Neodiprion lecontei: one gene and its partner. The protein of the gene in region 1 interacts with the protein of each later gene in a pairwise test. Links are inferred from orthologs where the notes say so. Each region holds a gene or a part of one and is shown in the gene's direction. Other genes may lie near its edges.

The links.
Region 2: the proteins of U6 snRNA-associated Sm-like protein LSm8 (region 1) and U6 snRNA-associated Sm-like protein LSm2 interact in a two-hybrid assay, tested with the Drosophila melanogaster proteins (2 studies listed by BioGRID). The link is inferred for Neodiprion lecontei from reciprocal best matches to the Drosophila melanogaster genes CG2021 and CG10418.

What each region holds. Positions count from the first base shown.
Region 1 is NC_060261.1:26,106,056-26,115,676, reverse strand, and holds U6 snRNA-associated Sm-like protein LSm8, read left to right. Parts: upstream 1-3,872; 5' UTR 3,873-3,990; coding exon 3,991-4,021; intron 4,022-4,095; coding exon 4,096-4,136; intron 4,137-4,935; coding exon 4,936-5,063; intron 5,064-5,141; coding exon 5,142-5,232; 3' UTR 5,233-5,253; downstream 5,254-9,621. Other genes in the region: THAP domain-containing protein 1-like, read right to left, coding at 2,416-2,513, 2,717-2,892, 2,960-3,202, 3,419-3,480; protein suppressor of sable, read right to left, coding at 7,463-9,480.
Region 2 is NC_060261.1:37,241,593-37,251,251, forward strand, and holds U6 snRNA-associated Sm-like protein LSm2, read left to right. Parts: upstream 1-4,090; 5' UTR 4,091-4,099; coding exon of another isoform or gene 4,100-4,194; 5' UTR 4,195-4,339; coding exon 4,340-4,342; intron 4,343-4,426; coding exon 4,427-4,494; intron 4,495-4,997; coding exon 4,998-5,088; intron 5,089-5,279; coding exon 5,280-5,405; 3' UTR 5,406-5,640; downstream 5,641-9,659. Other genes in the region: reticulophagy regulator 3, read right to left, coding at 913-1,184, 1,313-1,441, 1,561-1,711, 1,875-1,971, 2,096-2,221, 3,096-3,322; LIM homeobox transcription factor 1-beta-like, read right to left, coding at 6,453-6,709, 7,501-7,599, 8,097-8,402, 8,495-8,914.

The sequences.
Region 1 (9,621 bases):
AGAAAACCTTCGCACATTGCCGGCGGTATAAGATCAACCTTCGCACATTGCTAGCGGTGTGCGAAAAAGACGGTCGCGCTTTTATCCACAGTTGCGCATTTCGCAAACAGCTGCACTAGCGCCACCGATGGAATAGTTTGTCACTCTTTGCCGTGCTCGACATCGCTGCATCATCACTGAAAAGACATCGTGCCGTGGTTTCGTGTAAAAATAATCGTGTATGTCGGACTTTCCATTACAGGTGTAGCAAAAAATAGGGTTCGATACTAGTGCGAAAGTTGGCAATGCCTATCTCGCGTGAATGCGCCACACTCGCCCTTCAACTCGTCTACGGGCTCGTGCTGCGCCTTCACGCTTGTGCGGGCATTGCCACCTTCAAGCACTAGTATCGAAAAACACTATTGTTTCATTGGACTGAAATTTTTAATTCCGGTTACCGCTCAGTCCTTGACTATTTTCATTTTTTAACACAATCGGAAAATATAGTTCTAGGTAGAAAATGAAAATTAGTTTTCTAGTATCCGTTACTATTCTTTTTCATTACGATCACTGTTGCTATACTTTCTTTTAACTGTTAGGAAAATTTAATGCTTGTGCAACAATAAATTGACGCTAAAGCCTTATTTAACTAAAAAAGTAGAGTAAACCGACAACAGCGTACAATGGTTACATGTACCTCGTTTTTCGTAATTCCAACAATATTGAAACAGTTTTTTTAATGATACCTGATTTACTCAATTTTTCTAGTTACTGTAAGAAATGAATTTTTCTCAGTGTGGCACTGTTTTAGTGCCAGTAATTTGAATGTAATAATTAAAAATTCATATAAAATCGTAAATTCAGATTTCCAATCCGGATGAATGTAACAGTTTCTTTTGAAAGTGTTTCCTAACGAACGAAAAAAATTCGAACTCTTTTTAAACGAGTTTTGATCTTCGTTAGGTTTCAGAAAATCAAAAATTCTTCGTCGCGAAACTGTTTAACGAACGCAATTATTAGGAAGTGATTAAAAAACAACTTCAGTTCTCTTTCATTGAAACGAAAGACTAGACGCTGAACGTTGATTTATAGTTGTCTATTTATAATCGTAAATGAAAGAATTGTTGCATTAAAATTCATTTTATTAGGTTTGGGTTGAAAAAACGAACTTTTCAGCTCAAACAGAAACGGCGTTATGAATTTTTGAAAGTGAGTCTTCCAAGCCAAAAAATACCAAATTATCAAACTTTCGATCCCCTCTATTTTACGAAATATGTGAAATAAAAAATCCTGGAATACGTATCCCTATTTTTTTGATATAGAACCCGTGAAAAAATGTTAAGCTACATCAAAATTGTGTCGGTCTATTTTTATCTAAATCTGTCCGATTCGTCAAAGAATGTCCCATATTCAAGGGTGTTTCACGGAACAACAAATTGGATTTGCGATATTCACCGTAAAACCATCAAAATAATCAGTTCGGTCGTGATGCAATCGCTACACACATGACGTCATTATTTGCATGCAAAATTCGGGTCAATCCTGTTGGTTTGGTTACCGACTCAGATTCAGGTCCTTTACCGACCGCGTTTTGTCTAATATTGTGTTGCGCTACTCCCCGGTGGAAAGTACCACCTTCGAATGGTTTGGAACCGAGGAAACTTACGCAGAGAGCGCTTCGATCGATTACAACTTTTAGATCCAGGTCAGCGCACTGATATATATATACACTGGATTGGATATTACCGTATACTCTACGTGTAAGCTCGTGCGTCCAATTGAACAATTTAATTTCCGCCATCTTGTACAGAAAGTTGTCACAAAATGCGCGCTAGATTTGAACTGCGTAATATATGCTATTTAGGTCTAACGATATATTCGTCACACAAAAAAGTTTTTGACGAGTAAAATAATGTTTGATACATTAAATGAAGAACAAATCATTTTTTCGAAGGTATGTTATTATTTACAATTATATGATGTAAAAGATCATTAAATAATATGACGAAAAACTTGTATTTAAGCGTGATTTTTCTTCATGTTCAAAAGAAGTCCTCAATTCTAAGAAGTTTCCGTCCATTATCCTCTATCCTATGGTGGGCTGAATTCCATACGGATTATTCAAAAATTTGTATAACACTAATTCAACCGTTAGGGAATCCATTTACCATCCATTGATCATCAAAGTGGAGCTTAAGACATGTAAAAAAAGTTTTGAATTAAATTATATCGAATTGGGTGAGTAAAAACTTTATTCAAAAATATGGAGAATAAAACATTCCTTGCAAACGTTAAGGCATTTTTATAGAGTTGCGTGCGATAAACCACAACCGTAATATAATTAGTAGTATCAATCCACAATCCATTCACATGAAGAAAAAGTTACAAGCACAATCAAAAGAAAATAAAAAAGATGTACATACCTGAGCATGCAAATCAGGTACAAATGTGTAGGTGATCATGTAATTTGGTTACATTCACTGTGGTGGGCCGATCGGATTCATCCTGAAATTCGGTCTGCTGCAAGTTTTCACCTACAGATAAGTTACTAATAAATAACGACAATGGAAATACACAGAAATGTGTCACACACGATTTTTCTGTAACAGAGCACTTTATAATCTGTAGGTAATTAACCGCTTTGACGGCATTGACGCAATAGTGCATCACATCAACGTGTCTTTATGCACACTGAGTTTTCTCTGACCTAATAGGGATTAATAGTTTCAGATCTCACCAAATAACGTTGGGATACTGCCTTTTCGTAAAGTTATATAATTTTTACTTTTCTTCTGAAAGCAAGAGAGTTCAAAGTGGTCGGAACACAGAAAGCTATCACTTGATGGAGACCACGGTCCAATGTTTATATTTGCGATCCATGGCTTCATAATATCAGGTTCATCCAATGGGAACCTACATAACAAGCAAAGTTTAAATTTATTAATTCACACGTTATGTTGCATTGAGTAACGGTACTTACTTGAAGAATGAATAGCCACGTCCATATTCCTTTAATCGGTGACAAGATGAACACTCTGATTTTGGGTTGTCAAATATAGTTGGTACACTGTTCTTTTTCAATGTAATTAGGAATCCTGTCCTATCAAAGCAATCATTTGTAAAATGAGCTGAACACAATGTGCTATTTCGGTTTGGCTTCCAGTCCTCCCTCTTCATTTCTTCTAACCAATGCTGAACGCGCAACACATCTTTCACGGGAAATCTACATATCGAATTATAATTTAATCCCTCAGTCAATAATACCCGAGTTTTCAATTTCAATTATAATAAGATCGGTTCATAATTCAAATATTGTGAATTTTTACTGACAAGATTCGTACGTTATAATACTCGTTAAATATAATTAGTAAATACTTCGTATGCTGACATAACCTCTGCAAGTTATCATTTGCAGAACGCTTCAGCGTTGTATACTCACTTGTGAAATGATCGCCCACGATATTTTGATTGCTTTGTTTTGCAAAAAACGCAGGTACTCATTGTTACCTCAATAATTGTTACTGTAATTTTCCGTCGCAATCGATTATATACACATACATATATCACGTATATATATATATATATATATATATCTGAAGTGACAAGAATCTGTACAAAATGGCTACCGTTCAATTGGCGTGACGGCACCACGCTTAATCCAATCCAGTGTACATATATATCAGTGGGTCAGCGGCACCTTAAACAGCAAAAACTTACGCCGAAAGCGCCAGTAACTTTCAGTGGATTACTATGGGATTACTGCAGATTACTGCTACTGCTACAATTTTTGCAGCCCATTAAATCCCACCTCAAGACATCAGGTTAGCTGTGCGCTTCCTTTTGGTGACTTGCGGTGCTATTTATTTGGCAACTCTGCGATTACACTGATGGCGTCGTTGCAGCGTTAACTGGTGAAGTGGAAAACGCTATAATACAAACAAACAAAACGATTTGTTGAAGTATTTTGCTTCTACTGATTACATTGGCCAACCTGTTCTACCCTTACCAACAATGGCCTCAGGACTTGAAAGTTACGTAAACCGTATCCTTTTTCCTATCCGAAGTTGTATTTATAATTTAATTACATAAAGGTTATGTTTCCTCAATGTTTACTAGATACTGTTTCAATAATAACTTCCGATGGTAGGAACTTTATCGTGAGTATAATATGATCTAGCTTTTAAAAAATTTTTTTCTGTGAAACGAATCGCTGTGGTGACGCAGTCGCGAACCGATAGCGTAGTTATTAGCTCGTGTGTGATTTCGGATAGCAACAGAATATCGTAATTTATTAAATCTGACGAGAGTATGACGAAGCCCAACTTGCTCTGGGAAATAACATAAAAAGTTGGATTTCACTGCACCATCTGATGGAGATGCTTTATACCAAAAAGTGTGTTCCTGTAAAGCTATGAAAATTTACTGGCTGCCAACCACGCTGTTGTCTACACAGTCGTTCTCAGCTGCCTAGGCACTGTGAATCTAGCCTTTTGTAGGACGAAAAATAATTGACTAATTGTATAACTCTTGTACATTAATCAGTCTTAGGAGAATGCTATAATTAATCTTGATTGACAACATTAAATGTCATTTACTTTGGCTATGATCACAGCCTACAAAACACTGATGTGAAAGTGCCACAGTCAGCGCAGTACTACATGCAATGTCTAACCAAAACATCCAAACCTTTGTTGTTTCATACAAGAATAATACCAAGAAGTGTATCCTTGCAATAAGTGGTGATATAATTACAGGAATACATTTCTTCAAATGTGACGTCAAAATTTTTTTTTGGCTATTTGTAGTCAACATTGGATGTAGCATTGTACTGAGTGTAGCATTTTCACATCAATGATGCGCAGGCGTCGATAATAATAAAAATCTTTATTATTTATCTATTCTATTACTCCTATTCATTAACATCATCGAATATTCTGAACTATGTTTATGTTTCAGGGTACATTGAAAGGATTTGATCAGACAATCAATTTAATTCTTGATGAATCACATGAGCGTGTGTACAGCGTGACGCAAGGTGTCGAACAAGTTGTATTAGGTCTTCATATTATCAGAGGAGATAACGTGTATGTACGCACAATAAAATAATGTACATTTTCAAGAATGTCAGTAATTCATGTAAACCAATATTCCTGTATTTACAGAGCAATCGTTGGTGAGCTAGACGATGAGATGGATGCAAGAATTGATCTTTCAGCGATCCGAGCTGAACCACTTAGCTCTGTAGCGCATTAAAATAAATTTAAAAAAATTTTAGACAGCGTTTTTCTGAATACTCCTTACTTTATTCCACATTTTACTAATTGGCAATCGTGTTCTTACAACATATTTGGTTTTTTTTTTCAATGCACTTTTAACTTTAAGGAAATGTGCCTGAATTGAATTGAAACAGGTTATTTATTTTTGATATCAAAATGGAAATAAAGAAAAAACAACTCAATTTTTCTCAGTGCCCTAACATGATTAAGTCATTGGAACTGTAGTTATAACACCGGGAGCACTGTTGGATCAAATAAAAATATGAATAAAACGGTAGGTTAATAAGATACTGCTGATTATTTCAAGTCTCGATCTTGTAATATTACCCACTAATACTTTACATAAATTATAAAACACTTGTATTAAAGTTAATTATAGGCATATTATTCTATAGATAACGATATTAATTTATTTTCGATTGCATGATAATATTATTTGCGATGGAAAAATGAGTAATGCTTATAGCCGAAAAACGATGTTATATAACTATATCTGCATAGATACAAACGTTTTAAATAAATTGTAGCACTGATAATTCTACATAGAATAATTAAGTTTCATCATATTTGATTCAGGAAATATACACTATTCACATATCACTGGGGGAGTCATTACAATATGTATATTTAAATATGATTGCTATTATGATTTCTTAGATGAATGAATAATAATAATTTTTCAGTTCGAAATCACCATATTAATTTTATATATTCACTAAATTTCAATTTTCTCGTTTTAGCGAAATGTGTTTGCAATGAACAAACAATAAGAAATTTAGTATTTGCTGAGGTTGCATCATTGATTTATTACATGATACTTCTATAAATTTTTTTAACATATATCTTAAATTAATAATATTAAAGTTGAATTTAACAATCAAGTAAATATTATGCAATAATAGAGTCTGAGCTGATGATAACTTAGTAAAGTATGTATGTACAGTTGGAAGACGTACAAAAATAACACGGGAATACATAATACCAAGTATCGGTAAGTAATACACATGTAGTAAGTAATTTAAATTCAATCATTAAGGAGTTGTGTCATGAATTTCATTATTAGTATTTTTTCCTCCAACTAATTCGAACTAGAAACTCTATGTACAAGCTTCAATCATCAATCTGTCTAATTTGTTATCCATGATGAATCGGTAATTATTGAAATCATTAATCAATTCACATCATTTCATTTGTATGGTTATTAAGTGATGTACCAGTATACAGAAAATCGTTGGTATATATTGTCCGATGCCCGTCTTAATAATCAGAATTGAAACTTAAACATATTGATACATATTAATTTCTGTATTTCAAACTTCGTACCAGATTCCATGATTAGTATGAATCAATTGACATATCTAGTTTGAAATCATTTTGCCAAAACTATTTTTACAATTGCGACGTGAATGTTCTCCACAGTGGTAATAAATTTAAGAAAAATAAAACTAAGAAAAATTGATGTATAGCAACAAAATATTACATCTTGTGTAAATAATAGTACATGATAGTAAACTGTGGAAGATGTCTTATAGTGGATATTTAAAACAGGTTACAAAGAGAGCTTGGGGAATACAAGTGAATTAAATTCAATTGAAGTTGTTGAGGAGATAACAGGGGTAATACAAAAAAGTATGTGTTTCAGGATTGTATTGAATAGGTCTGCATTTTAGGGGAAAACAATATGTCAAGTCAAGCCACTTGAAGATAATTTTCCTTGATAATGAATTATGGCGATTTGATAAGCAACACATCTTCAAATATAAAATAAGAAGTAAAACTAAGGAAAAATTCCGTACTGATTATTTTTAATGCAAAGTTATTTCAATCGATAAATATAATATCGAATAACTACTAGGTAAATGAAATATACTTAAAGCACACAACTTTAAAACGGAATACAGATGATGCACAATCTGGTCAATTATTATAACACTTGATTCGCAATTTTTTGACTGATGTTGTCAAATCTGTACCAGCTTTAATATTGATTTCTGGATACTCAGTACCCAGGGATTACTCGGTCGTCTATCAAATGTAATGTGATGAAGTATCTCGTTGCTAACTTATCCGAGCAAGAGCCAATTTACTCAATTAGGTCACATGCTCATTTTAGCTGCCTCATATATTACTTGTCATGTTGGCATCATTATTAACCACTTTTAACATGTGATGCTACAAGTCTCACTGTATGCATACAATTCTACAATTCACGGCGGAGATCTTCTATTACTACTGTTATTATTACTTCTGTTACGATTTCGTCTGCGTATCCGACCCGACCCTCGCCGATTATTCTGATTTTGATTGCCTGCGTTCCAGTCCCCTCCATTACCCCCAAAGTTAGGAGGTGGAGGTCCATTGGGACCAAAGCCCATCATGTTATCGTTAGGTCCGAAGTTGTTGAAATTACTAGGTGAAAAATTCGGTCCCTCATAATTTGGTCCTTCGTAATTTGGCCCGTCATGTCCGAATCCCCCCATAGTAGGTGCAGGGCCCAACAAACCAGCCCCACTGTTACGCTGGGCGTTAAATCGGGGATCAAAATTCATCTGATTTGCAGGCCCCATATGTGCGCCATTCGGCCCCATGTTTCCCATTGGCGGTACGTTGGTCATACCCGGCATTGGTCCCATGTTTGGCATATTTCCCATCATTGGCCCATTCGCTCCAATATTTCCCATCATATTCATTGGTCCCATATTTCCCATCATTGGCGCATTACCGCCCAAGGCCATGGGTATGCCTTGAGAATTAATCGCCTTCACATTATCTATGGGTGGTGGCTGAGAATTTGCGGACATGGAAGGTATAGCACTGCTAGAAGTTGGTAAAGCTGCATTTTCTAAGGCTTTTCTACGTGGATCTGCCCGAACTTGTGGTGGAGACTTTGGTGTGTCTGGTTTAACAGGTGGCGGGGACATCGGCGAGTCGGCGAGGTCTGCGTCAGTGATGCGAAATATTTTTCGCAGTCTAGGGTCATTTTTGACCTGCGGGTCGTTTCTAGTCAATTTCAGACCTGTATAGTAAGGTCTTGGTATATCTACTACGTATACTTTGAACGGCATGGGAGGATGCGAAGATATACTCGCATCTATTTCAGTACAAGGAACATGTGATGGTGCAGGTTTGAAAGGGAGGCTGAGCATTTGTCTCAGATCAATGTCTGATCTGGTTGACGTCGCTGTTACTATTCTCAAATCCGTGTCTCCAAAGTCTGAAGGGTATCGTTGTCTCAAGTCCATATCTTTTCTTCTGTGATCCTGATCACTTTTAGCTCTTAAATCTGTATCCAAGTGAGTATCCATGCTTGTTATTCCTGAACTGTAGATACTATTCTCTATCCTCAATGGTTTTGATTCTTTCTTCAGCTCTGATCTCGCCGTTGGTGGCGGACTGTGTAGCTTATGATCCTCTCGTCGTTGACGTGGGTCCCTAGACATTCTTGGATCTCTCGAAATGGGAGTGGAAGTATTATTCATGTTCATATTAGGTGACGAGTTGGGGCTTGGGATTCCGTCTTCTACTATCGTTTTCAAACGGACGGACATACTAGATGTTTCCGAACCTTGGTCGAACGCGGGTAAAACACCAGTGTACACGTCGATTTTACTCTTTCCCTGATGGTTATACTCGGTAGGATACTCAATCTTGACTTTTTTTGGAGCCAAAGATCTCTCAACAGGCTCCAAATCAGTCTTCGCCACATTTTCAACGGGCTGTTCCGTCTTTGGTAGACTATTCCTAACTTTGCTATTCGTTGTTGAGCTGTGAGCTTTAATAGTTGACAGTAATTTTGAAACTTCAGCGCTGATATCAATTTTGCTCAAGTCGCCAAGTTTATCTACAATAGCCGCAGGTTGAGGTACAGCTAAAGTTTCGACTATAGAGGAGGACGATGTATCTTTATGCCCACTTGACTTGCCGTCAGCATCAACTTCGTTGTCATCCTTTTGTGTGTCTTTCAGAACGATTGTCAAGTTACCTCCATCATCATCGTCGTCGTCTTCATCATCAGAGTACCAATCACCTTGTTGATTCTCCAAATTATCTTTGATGTGATCATCATCCATGTTTTTGAAACTGTCTTGAGCAGCTCGTTGCAGCTGTTGAATTCTTAGAAATAGTTCTTGCGCTCGTTTTGGTAAGTGCGATGGAATTTCGCCATCCTCGTTGGAGATGCCTGATGCTAAAGATACACTTGAAGATTGGGTGGACATTTGCTGCTCTGTAATAAGTGAATAATAATCATGAAAACAATTTACAATGCCCTGTATACTGCATTTATTCGTTAGTACGTTAAATAATTGGACAGATTAGTATTATCTTTTGTAGGTTGACATCTGAAGAAATATCTGAAACCATCCAT
Region 2 (9,659 bases), about 11 Mb from region 1:
TGATACGTAAGTATGTATGGCTCTTGTACACAAGTTTTTCTTCTCGAATTAATTACTATTTAAACCGGTCACTATTACAATAGACGCCGTCTGTGAATTGATATCAATAACCTGTTTCAGTTTTGAAATATATTTCTATTCGGTCACAGTTGTCGAAAAATTTAGTTGAGTCTCATTAAGATGTCTGCAGTTGACCTGCTGTACTCCAAAATTTCAGAAATAGTCTATCTTTCCTTGTTTTTGATCCACTTCTATTCTCACAATTTTGTTCAAGTTGAGTGGTTGACATAAATTATTAGATAAAATAATTGCGATTTCTTGCATCACAAAACCCATGTCCACATCTATACTTTAAGAATAAAATTGCCATTGATGTACATTATAATCAAGATCTGAAAATATCTGTAATATCATATAATAATTAAGGAATCCAATTCATTGCTAAATTTTATTGCAAATTTTCGAAACAAGCATGACACATATCTGAGTCTTGCCTGTTATATTTGTAATAATAATTATATCAAAATTATTATATCCACCTGTTAAAATCTACCTTCTTGTGTCTAAGAATAATCACACCACTTTGATATTACCAAGAACCAGTTAACCGTATCCCAACCAATATCTGTAATCACGTCTTTTACATTGAACAAAGTAATTCAAGAATTATATACCCGTATATTTGGTTATAATATTCATTATTTTGAATTCAAAATTAATCTTTTTTTACGTACTGTGTATTATAAATTGAAGTAAAATCCAGCATTCATCATTTTTACTTACTGTGTATCGTATATTCAAGTAAAAGCCAACATTCATCATTTTCACAGCCAAATCAGGTAAATGGTGTGATTGATTCAGATGCGAGATATTATCAATTGTTATATATTACACAAAATTTATGTCAAACCTCTAAACGTTCTTGACATTTACAACTTCACGAGTGTCAATTATTTCAAATTCGCTGTCGCTGTCGTCGCTATGTTGAGAAATTTTCTGTGGCTGAAGTTCGGCTTCTTCCTCAGATGATGATCCTCTTTCAAAATGACCACTTTGGAACTTAATGCCATCAACTTCAACATCGTCGGTACTTAATTCCAATTCGGACAGTTCCAAACCGTCCGTGCTACCGTCTTCATGGGAAGGCATTCTTAGACCAACCAATTCTTTGTCATTAAGAGGATCTGTGAGTGAAATTACTATATAAGATACTAGAAAACTATCTCGGAGTTAAAGTATCAGTAATGTGAAAAAATGACTTCAACCCTCAGCAGTGTTGCTATTGTTACAAATCAAAGTGTGAAAACTGTACCAATTTGATTTTCCACTGACAAACTAGTCGGTGTAAGACTTTGATCCCCACTTTCTCCTGCTCGCTTTAACACTTGTAAGTTATCTTCTGTAACCGCAGGTAGAAACTCTTCTATTTCGCTATCCCATTCTGTAAGAATAATTCTTCAGATTAATGCTTGGTAAATACAGAGTTAGTTCTTCAAAAATTTTAACACTCTATCCAAAACAGCTGCAATTTATCTTGATCAAGTCTCACTTGTCATTCACCTTTAGACGTCATAACTTTGCACGGTATATGCAAAAGAATCCCAGGTCCTACTAAGATACTCATTAAAATTGTGTAAGCTAAAAGTGTCCCAGAAATTGCTCGTCCTGTCAGCCAGAGACCCAACGAAACTGCACAAGTAGAAGCGCAGAACTGAAGGGAAAAGGAAAGGCCATAATAGAAAATACTTATTTTTATATCATTCAACAGCTATAGATAAGATTAAAATAAATTTGGCACATGAATTGAAGGAACGCGATTAAACTCAAATAAGTAAAAATAATGATGTAATATTTATTAAATGAAAACATCCTACCACTCCTGGCTGTTGTTTGCGCAATTGCTTGAGGTTGTCAACACCAGACTTTAGCTGACGAACTATTTTGTTCAGCTGCTCTGACTTGACATGTGGGCTGTAAACACATGATTTGTTATCTGGGTTATTTATCATTATCGAATAACCAAAAATTTTACATTGAAGAAAATCTCTTACCGATGAATCCATGCAAATGTGAAATGTCAAAAGCAATAACTTACGTCGCTACAGTTGGTGATTTATTATCCTTTTGGGCCTGTGTCTCAAGGGTGCTGTAGCAGAGGACCACGACTAGCGCAGCACTGCTGGCTGCCGCAAAACCGCGAACCTCCAATACGACAATTCCCCTGAAAAAATTGAGATAAATAAATGTATAACTGTTCGTAGTTATGCTAAAATATCGAAGATCATAGTTTTTTGATTGTTATGTTCGGTAACAGGTAAAAATTTGTAATTAGACTTATAATGAGTCAAAGGTTCAATAAAATGTTCTATCAATTGAAAAAAACAAGTTTGTGTATCACCACTACAGATAAGATCTGATTTATCTTCCAGCGTCACTTCCTGAATACTGGTCGCACAGAATTGAGTACGATCATGTGTTCATATCAGTAAAAAAAAAACAGATTATACATATTCAAGGCTGAATAATACATTGCAATAGTATCTCATTAAAGTTTATATACAAATTCACACTGTCTTCCGATAGCTTGTTGTGAATATCTACGCTGTGAACAGCTGATAATTAATACATTACATTCTACGGAGTTAGACTGTATAGGTAAAGTTCATTTGCTCATATGTACACATACGACGTTGAAACAAATTTACGGCAATAGCTATGTTTCACCATCAAATTTCAATACCTCTACTTTACCATGTTACAAAATCAATTTTTAGTTAAGAAGAAAGACGCCAGCAGACCGAGAGTTATAATTTATTTTCATATGAGAAAAATAAATTTTTTACTCTTACAATATTCGATTCATTAACTTGTATGATTTTATATGATTCTGCAAATTTTAAATTCTCATTGTTATCGCTAGAAACATTTTTAGAGGTATAAACAGAAAATGTTGAAAAAGGTGGCACGACGTGTTAGCTTCTTTTGTGATCATATAAATTGCAAATCAATTTTTATGAGAGTATGGTAAATTTAGTATGCGATAAAAAGAAAAAGAGAAAAAATATTCAGCCAACGGGTAATATCGTGCAACTTACCAGAACAATAAATTGAAGACAATGACGACAGAGATACTATTCACTGAATTCTCCCAGAGCAAAATGCTTTCCAGAATTGTTAAAAATCTGTTGGACGTATTAAAGTTGTACTTAACGTCTCCGGGACGATTATTTTCGGACGTACTTTCGTCGTATTTTTCGGGGACATTTTCCTTCTCCCGAAGCCTCCAACGAAAATAATACGCGATGTTAGTTAATTTCTCCATGACTTGATGAAAAAAAAACCTCCTAAATGATTTATCAGTTATTGTTTTTAACCAGCATGGCACTGTTAAAAACTCGTCTCCGTATTATTTTTAGCGCGTGACAACGAAATTTTGCGACAGTCAGGCACACACCCCCACTTTGTTGTGTTCTACCTTTGATCTATTCGGTAGAAATTTTCTCCGTCTTTTATTCTATTTTATTCCTAACACACGAGAGTTTGTCCCCGTCGACAACCGCAACAGTAAGATCTCCGATAATCGCTGCGCAATAGAAGCTCACATCAAGCCCTAAACGCGTAATAGTATCTTCGCAATCCTTAGGACTGCGTAGGTCTCAACTACGTTTTCGCACTAATGGTTCGTGAAAATTGCGATGTTTGCCTACAGCGAAGCTGATGTTGGGAACCATGTGGTTCACCCCCACCACCTCGCAACGTTCAACCGTCCTTCTCCGACCTGGATATTCCCCATGCTGTTCTCTCCGTCCGGTGCATTCGCGTACCTTCCTTTCTCTGCTGGAGCGCTTTAAATATATCTATCCTTTTTAAATTACGTAAACCGTATTTATCACATTTCTTCTCTTTGTTCCCAACTATGTACATTTACATCCAAATCTCAACCCGATCCAGGCCAAATAACGGAGCTTCTATACCGTACGAATCAATACGGTACATCGATTATAAATTTTAATTTTATTCACAGTTTTCAATTGACGTTTTACCAAAATTTGTTAAGTCATTAGCGTTATTCTGCACATTTGTGCGTACCTATACGTACATATTGGGAACGTAAGTTGCCTGTCCCTTCCGCTCATGCGTCCCGCGCGCATTAACCCATGATTCTTTTATCAATACGATACCTCGACATTCCATCGACTATCGACCTAAAACTAGGCATCTGAACTATCGATATCTAGCTGCGTGTGAGAGCGTTATGTTCGGTTTTGTAACGAAGCGGCATAACCTCCAAAACTGAACGAGACACATAACCTGTGATTTTCTATGTTGTTCGGTAAAAATGGTTAGCGAAATATTTAAAAACGTCTTTGTATATTATCTACAGTTGAGGGGTTGTAATATTGGTCTTATTTCTTCTCTTTTACAGTTATTCTACTCGTTTTTCAAATCTTTGGTCGGGAAGGACGTCGTAGTGGAGTTGAAAAATGACCTGAGGTAACGTAAATATGCAACAATAAATCGTAAACATTCTCCGCATAATCTGCCGTGGTTAAATATACTTCCATTCAGTATTCGAGATTCGGAAGATACGGAGAAATTCAACAACGTCAATGGTCCACATACATGTACTTGAATAAATATGAATACAAATTCCGGGTTTGCAGATAGTCAGTGTTCTCAGTTTGTTGTCACTCGGTTTTCAAACTTGTCATTTGAGCTTTATTCGTTTTATTTGAGTTGTGAGAGTTATTTCTATTGTTGTTATCATACGATATGTTTGAAAGCTCCAATTACAATTTTCAAATGTTACAAGTTTTTTTTCTGTATCCATTCTAAGTTAACAAGCAATCCTGTTCACTTTTCTGACCGATTGTAACTCAGTCCATTTTTTCATTTCTGTCTGCAATCTAAATATTGATCAAACTTGCATTATGTATTATTCTTAGTCAGCTTTTGCAAATACCAATTACTCACCGTTGTTATTATTATATTTTCAGTATTTGTGGTACCTTACACTCTGTGGACCAGTATCTGAACATCAAGCTCACAGACATCAGTGTGACGGATCCAGATAAATATCCTCACATGGTTTGTAAAGTTACCACATGTTGATCAGTAATGCATGTTATAAGAAACTATAATCCGGCGAAGCCAGTACACAATAACACGTATTAAACATTTACTTGAATTATTCTATGTCTGGAGATATCCTACTTTCCTTAATTTTGTGATTCGGCAGTACAGAATTACTTGATCCAATTTTTGGTCGTCTGTTACAGTTGTCAGTGAAAAACTGTTTCATTCGTGGTTCTGTAGTGAGGTACGTTCAACTTCCTGGAGACGAGGTTGATACACAGCTTTTGCAAGATGCTGCACGGAAAGAGGCAGCTGTACAAACCCGATAACAAATCAGTACCAGTAATGCTTACATGTATGTTACGATTTACAATAAGACGTATTATAGACAGTTATGTTCAGTACGGTTTGATTGATAAAGTTTAATTTATTTAAATTTAATTTACGAAACGGGTGTTTATTCACGTTTGTAACAAATCACTGAATCTGTTGTCAACGGTTTGGCGAAAGTTCAAAGCAACATGATTGTAAGAAACTACAAATAAAACCTATTTTGTACAAATAGCAGATGGCAATTTTTTTGCGAATTTTTGGGTCTTGAATAACATGAGAAATTGAACGATTATTTTGTGTAATTATTTATCCCATACGTGCTTGAGGTACAGTGTTATGTCATTTTATTCGGGATTTGTTGCCAAGAGAATTTTTGAATTTACGTATCTATTGCTAATCAGGTCGGGTTGAAAATAATTATTTTTTATATCATTACTTCTGTCCAAAACCAAATAGAATCCTCCCATATTACAGTTTTTCGGTAACGATATTTGGTTTAGCAACTTTTTATTATTATAATATATTAAAGTACACTTATTATTAAACGTAAATACAAATATTCTTCTACATCTCTTTTATTTGGTATCAATCTTCATATTTAAAACTGAAAATCGATGTTTCAACGAAGTATATATATACGGTAAAACTAAAGCAACGGATTATTCTTTGGATTTAGCTATATACGATGAAATAAATATACGTAACTGGGTGATTAATTTTTTTTTTTTCAATAAATTAAAATATATATAAGTAATCATAGTATTGGTTGATCAAAATAATCGGTATCTGAGAAGGAAGTAAGTTTAAAAATCAACAACTCGAACGACAGCAATAATAGTTTACCAATTCTACGGGTCATCGAAGAAAACCTGACTAGAACAATATTACACAGCAGGTCGTTGAATCTCTACTCGTAAAAGGTACATCTACATACATGCGCGTACTTTGTTCGTTTCGTTTGAAAAATAATCTTCGAGTGAAATTCATTACGCGTAAGTTTCAGTTTAAGCTTGATCAAGCCCCAGGCTCCAAGGCTCAAACCCCTACGCATGTTCGCCGCTAAAATAACTGCTTTGCATCATGAAGAGTTTGTCTATCGGATTATGCATCGCGGCGTGTAGGCTCTGGGAAAGTGTCGGCGCTTCGTGCGGGGGAGGTCCGTGATGGGAATGAGGCCCACCAGGATGACTCCCATCCGGGCCCCCGTTATCCCCATCCCCGATATCGAACCCGGCCTCGGTACCGTCCAGAGAAAGGTCACTGCTGCAGAAACTCTCGCCGGAATGTCCCGCGTATGTGTCTGAAACGCAGATGAGGAAAATATGCAAAATCGAAAACATCAGAGTATCTTGGTTGGTATTTAAAATCAGTCAACTGTAAGACAAGGTTCGATTTATTCTTAGGTACTTCGCAGTGCGCTCATCCTCAGTGAATTAACCCACAAAAAATAAACTGAGCCAACGATGCAAAGTGTATATCGAATAAAATAGTCTTCTCGAAGAAGGAAATGGGGAAGGAATTGAGAGCGAAGTTCGAGGATCGCGAGCTTCTGCACTAACGATGAGTGACATTTCCAGTCGTGTTTACTGCACGGTGCAATTTTTTATCGTTATCAGAAAAAATATATTTCAGAGTCAAAGATAAAAATGAGTTTTATAGCTGTAATCTGTAAATCTAGTATGGTATATACATATATGCATGTGTTAATATTCTCTTTGATCATGGTCCTTGTAACTATTGCGATAAATTGATGTTGTTGCAACAATAAATTGTTGTCAAGGCCTTGTTTAGCTGAAAAATGAAGGGAAATAAACAAACAGATTCAATGTTGGAATAGTCAGAAAATGTAGTACTGGCAATTACAATCCGCGCTCTCAATAGTAATACCAGTACTAACAACAGTAATTTCCGCAGTATCGAAACTGTTTCTGTGACGATATGTTTCCTGGTAGAATTTTCCATTGACTGCAAAAAATGAAGTTATTCTCGGCGCATGGACATTTCACACGTGAACGAAAGCTCGTGTCGGATCTGGTTGGGCAAAATTTGGGAAACGAAGGCGGCGGCGACGGTGAAGCGTCAACAACTTACCGTCGGGTGAGTAAGGGTTGTTGGGGTTGAGCGGCTGCGTGGCCGAAGGGAAGCTGGAAGAATCCCCGTCGCGCATGCTCAGCGCGTTCAAGTAATGACCTGTGAACGAGACGGCATAGAAGAAAGGTGACAAACCCACACTGCGGAAGAGAGAGAGAGTGAGAGAGAGAGAGAGAGAGAGAGAGAGATAGAGAGAGACTCGGTGCCACGGAGCCCCTCCTTATATTCTTTAACTTATAAAACTGACGGGGTAAAAGACCTCCCTTATGCCTCTGGGCGACACAAGACTTCGCGGGGTCGTCTTCCCAGGAATTTAACGCCCGTCACCCGGTGACACATGCCTCGCAATATCCGTTCCGCAGTTAGGCGGGGGCTCTGCTCTTTAAGATTTACGTTTTCGCATGTCGACTGACAGACTGAGAAACATGAAAGGAAGAAAGAAAGTGGAGAGGAGCAAATAACGCGAGCATTTATTCTCGATCGCTGTTGGCGAAGTTTGCGACGTAGGTTCACATAAGTAGTCAATCGTGATCGGAGAGGGGATCGTGAGGCTCGGTATTAATTACAGAGAGTTCCGCGCAAAGTTTAAAACTCACTGTGATCGCTGTGAGGACTTTCCCCGGCGCGTTCCTCCTTCGGTTCCTTTTCGGCGCCAGGTTCCGCCTTCGCTTTTCTCTGAAGTTTCTTCATCTTCGCCCTCTGATTTTGGAACCAGACTTGCACGACCCGAACACTGAGACCAGTGTCTTTGGCGAGAGCCTCGCGCACTTTTCTGCAAGGCTTAGGCGACACTTCGAAGGACGCTTTGAACTGGCGTCTCTGAGCGGAAGTCAGAATAGTGCGGGGCCTTTTGGGGCCGCGACGCCCGTCCGGAGGTCGACTTTCGTCCAGGAGGTCGTCGTCTGGAAACATTCGACGCCAAGTAGTACTTTTAGTTGCATCGTTATGCTCACGCGCTCATGATTGCAGGGGTAAAATATTTCCAAACGCATACCTTGAGGACTGTGAACGTAACGCTCGTGCTCGAAGTCTCTTCTACATATGGGTTGCCCCTGTCTCAGGATGAAATGAGCCCCTCGAGGAAGGCTCTGTCCGCACATGCAGCAGGCGAAACATTCGACGTGAAAGAAGAGGCCGGCCACCCGCATCACGAGATCCGAACATCGAATCTTTTCCATGCATCGGCTGCACTTCACCGCGAATATGCGCTCGTAGTCCACCCTGCAGTAGAGCTTGTGATCCCGGGTGAAACAGGTGTGAACCAAGGGAGACGCGCATGCAGCGCAAGAGAGGCAATCCTCGTGGTAACTTTTCTCTCCTACTCGCATTACGTATCTGTCCGCAATGCCTCGACCGCAAGCTGCGCAAATCGCCTCTAGGAGTCCCGCCTCCGTCTTCACCGACACCGTTGGCTCTTTAACAATAACAATTGTACAATGAGCAGGGTTGTTGTGATGCTGAAAAACTGGAACAAGTCCCGGTGTTTGGTTAAAAATATAAATATCGGAATTAGTTATTGACATTCGAAGAAAAATAATTGTCCAACTATTGCGTTATATGATTAAAATTAGCAGATCATTATTAAACTCGATGTGATAACAATCACCGGAAAGTTCGGAAAATTACTTATAAACCAATTCAAATTTGTAGGGAAAAAGTAACGTATACTTATTCCACGACATCTGGAAAATTCGGAGATATTAGAAAATAAACGAATACTACGTTAGATATATACTATCACTGTGGTTCCATAATAATCAACCTTGACTCTGTTTACATCTATACAATTTAAGATCAAACTATTTTCCCTGTATTGTTTGCGAACGTTGCGTACAAACAAATGACCAGTTTCACTGATCATCATTAAACGGTATATTTTGCTGAGTAAATAATATCGGTTGACCTGTAGTTCGTCGTTGGTTATAGTGATTCTCATGTGATTTTATTAAAATTCTTTTGATTATTTTTACGTCAGCGAGAGCACCGGACGATTTAAAAATTAAAAGCTCATCGGATGGCTCGGCGGGAGTCTGGTGCAGCTACTGCGAGAGCTGATCGACATCTGTTGCAGCGCCCGGAGTTGAACCACGGGGAGGAATTCAAGTATTTGACGAGAGATACGTCATTCAAACGCCACTTCGAGTGCCAATAAAGGCACT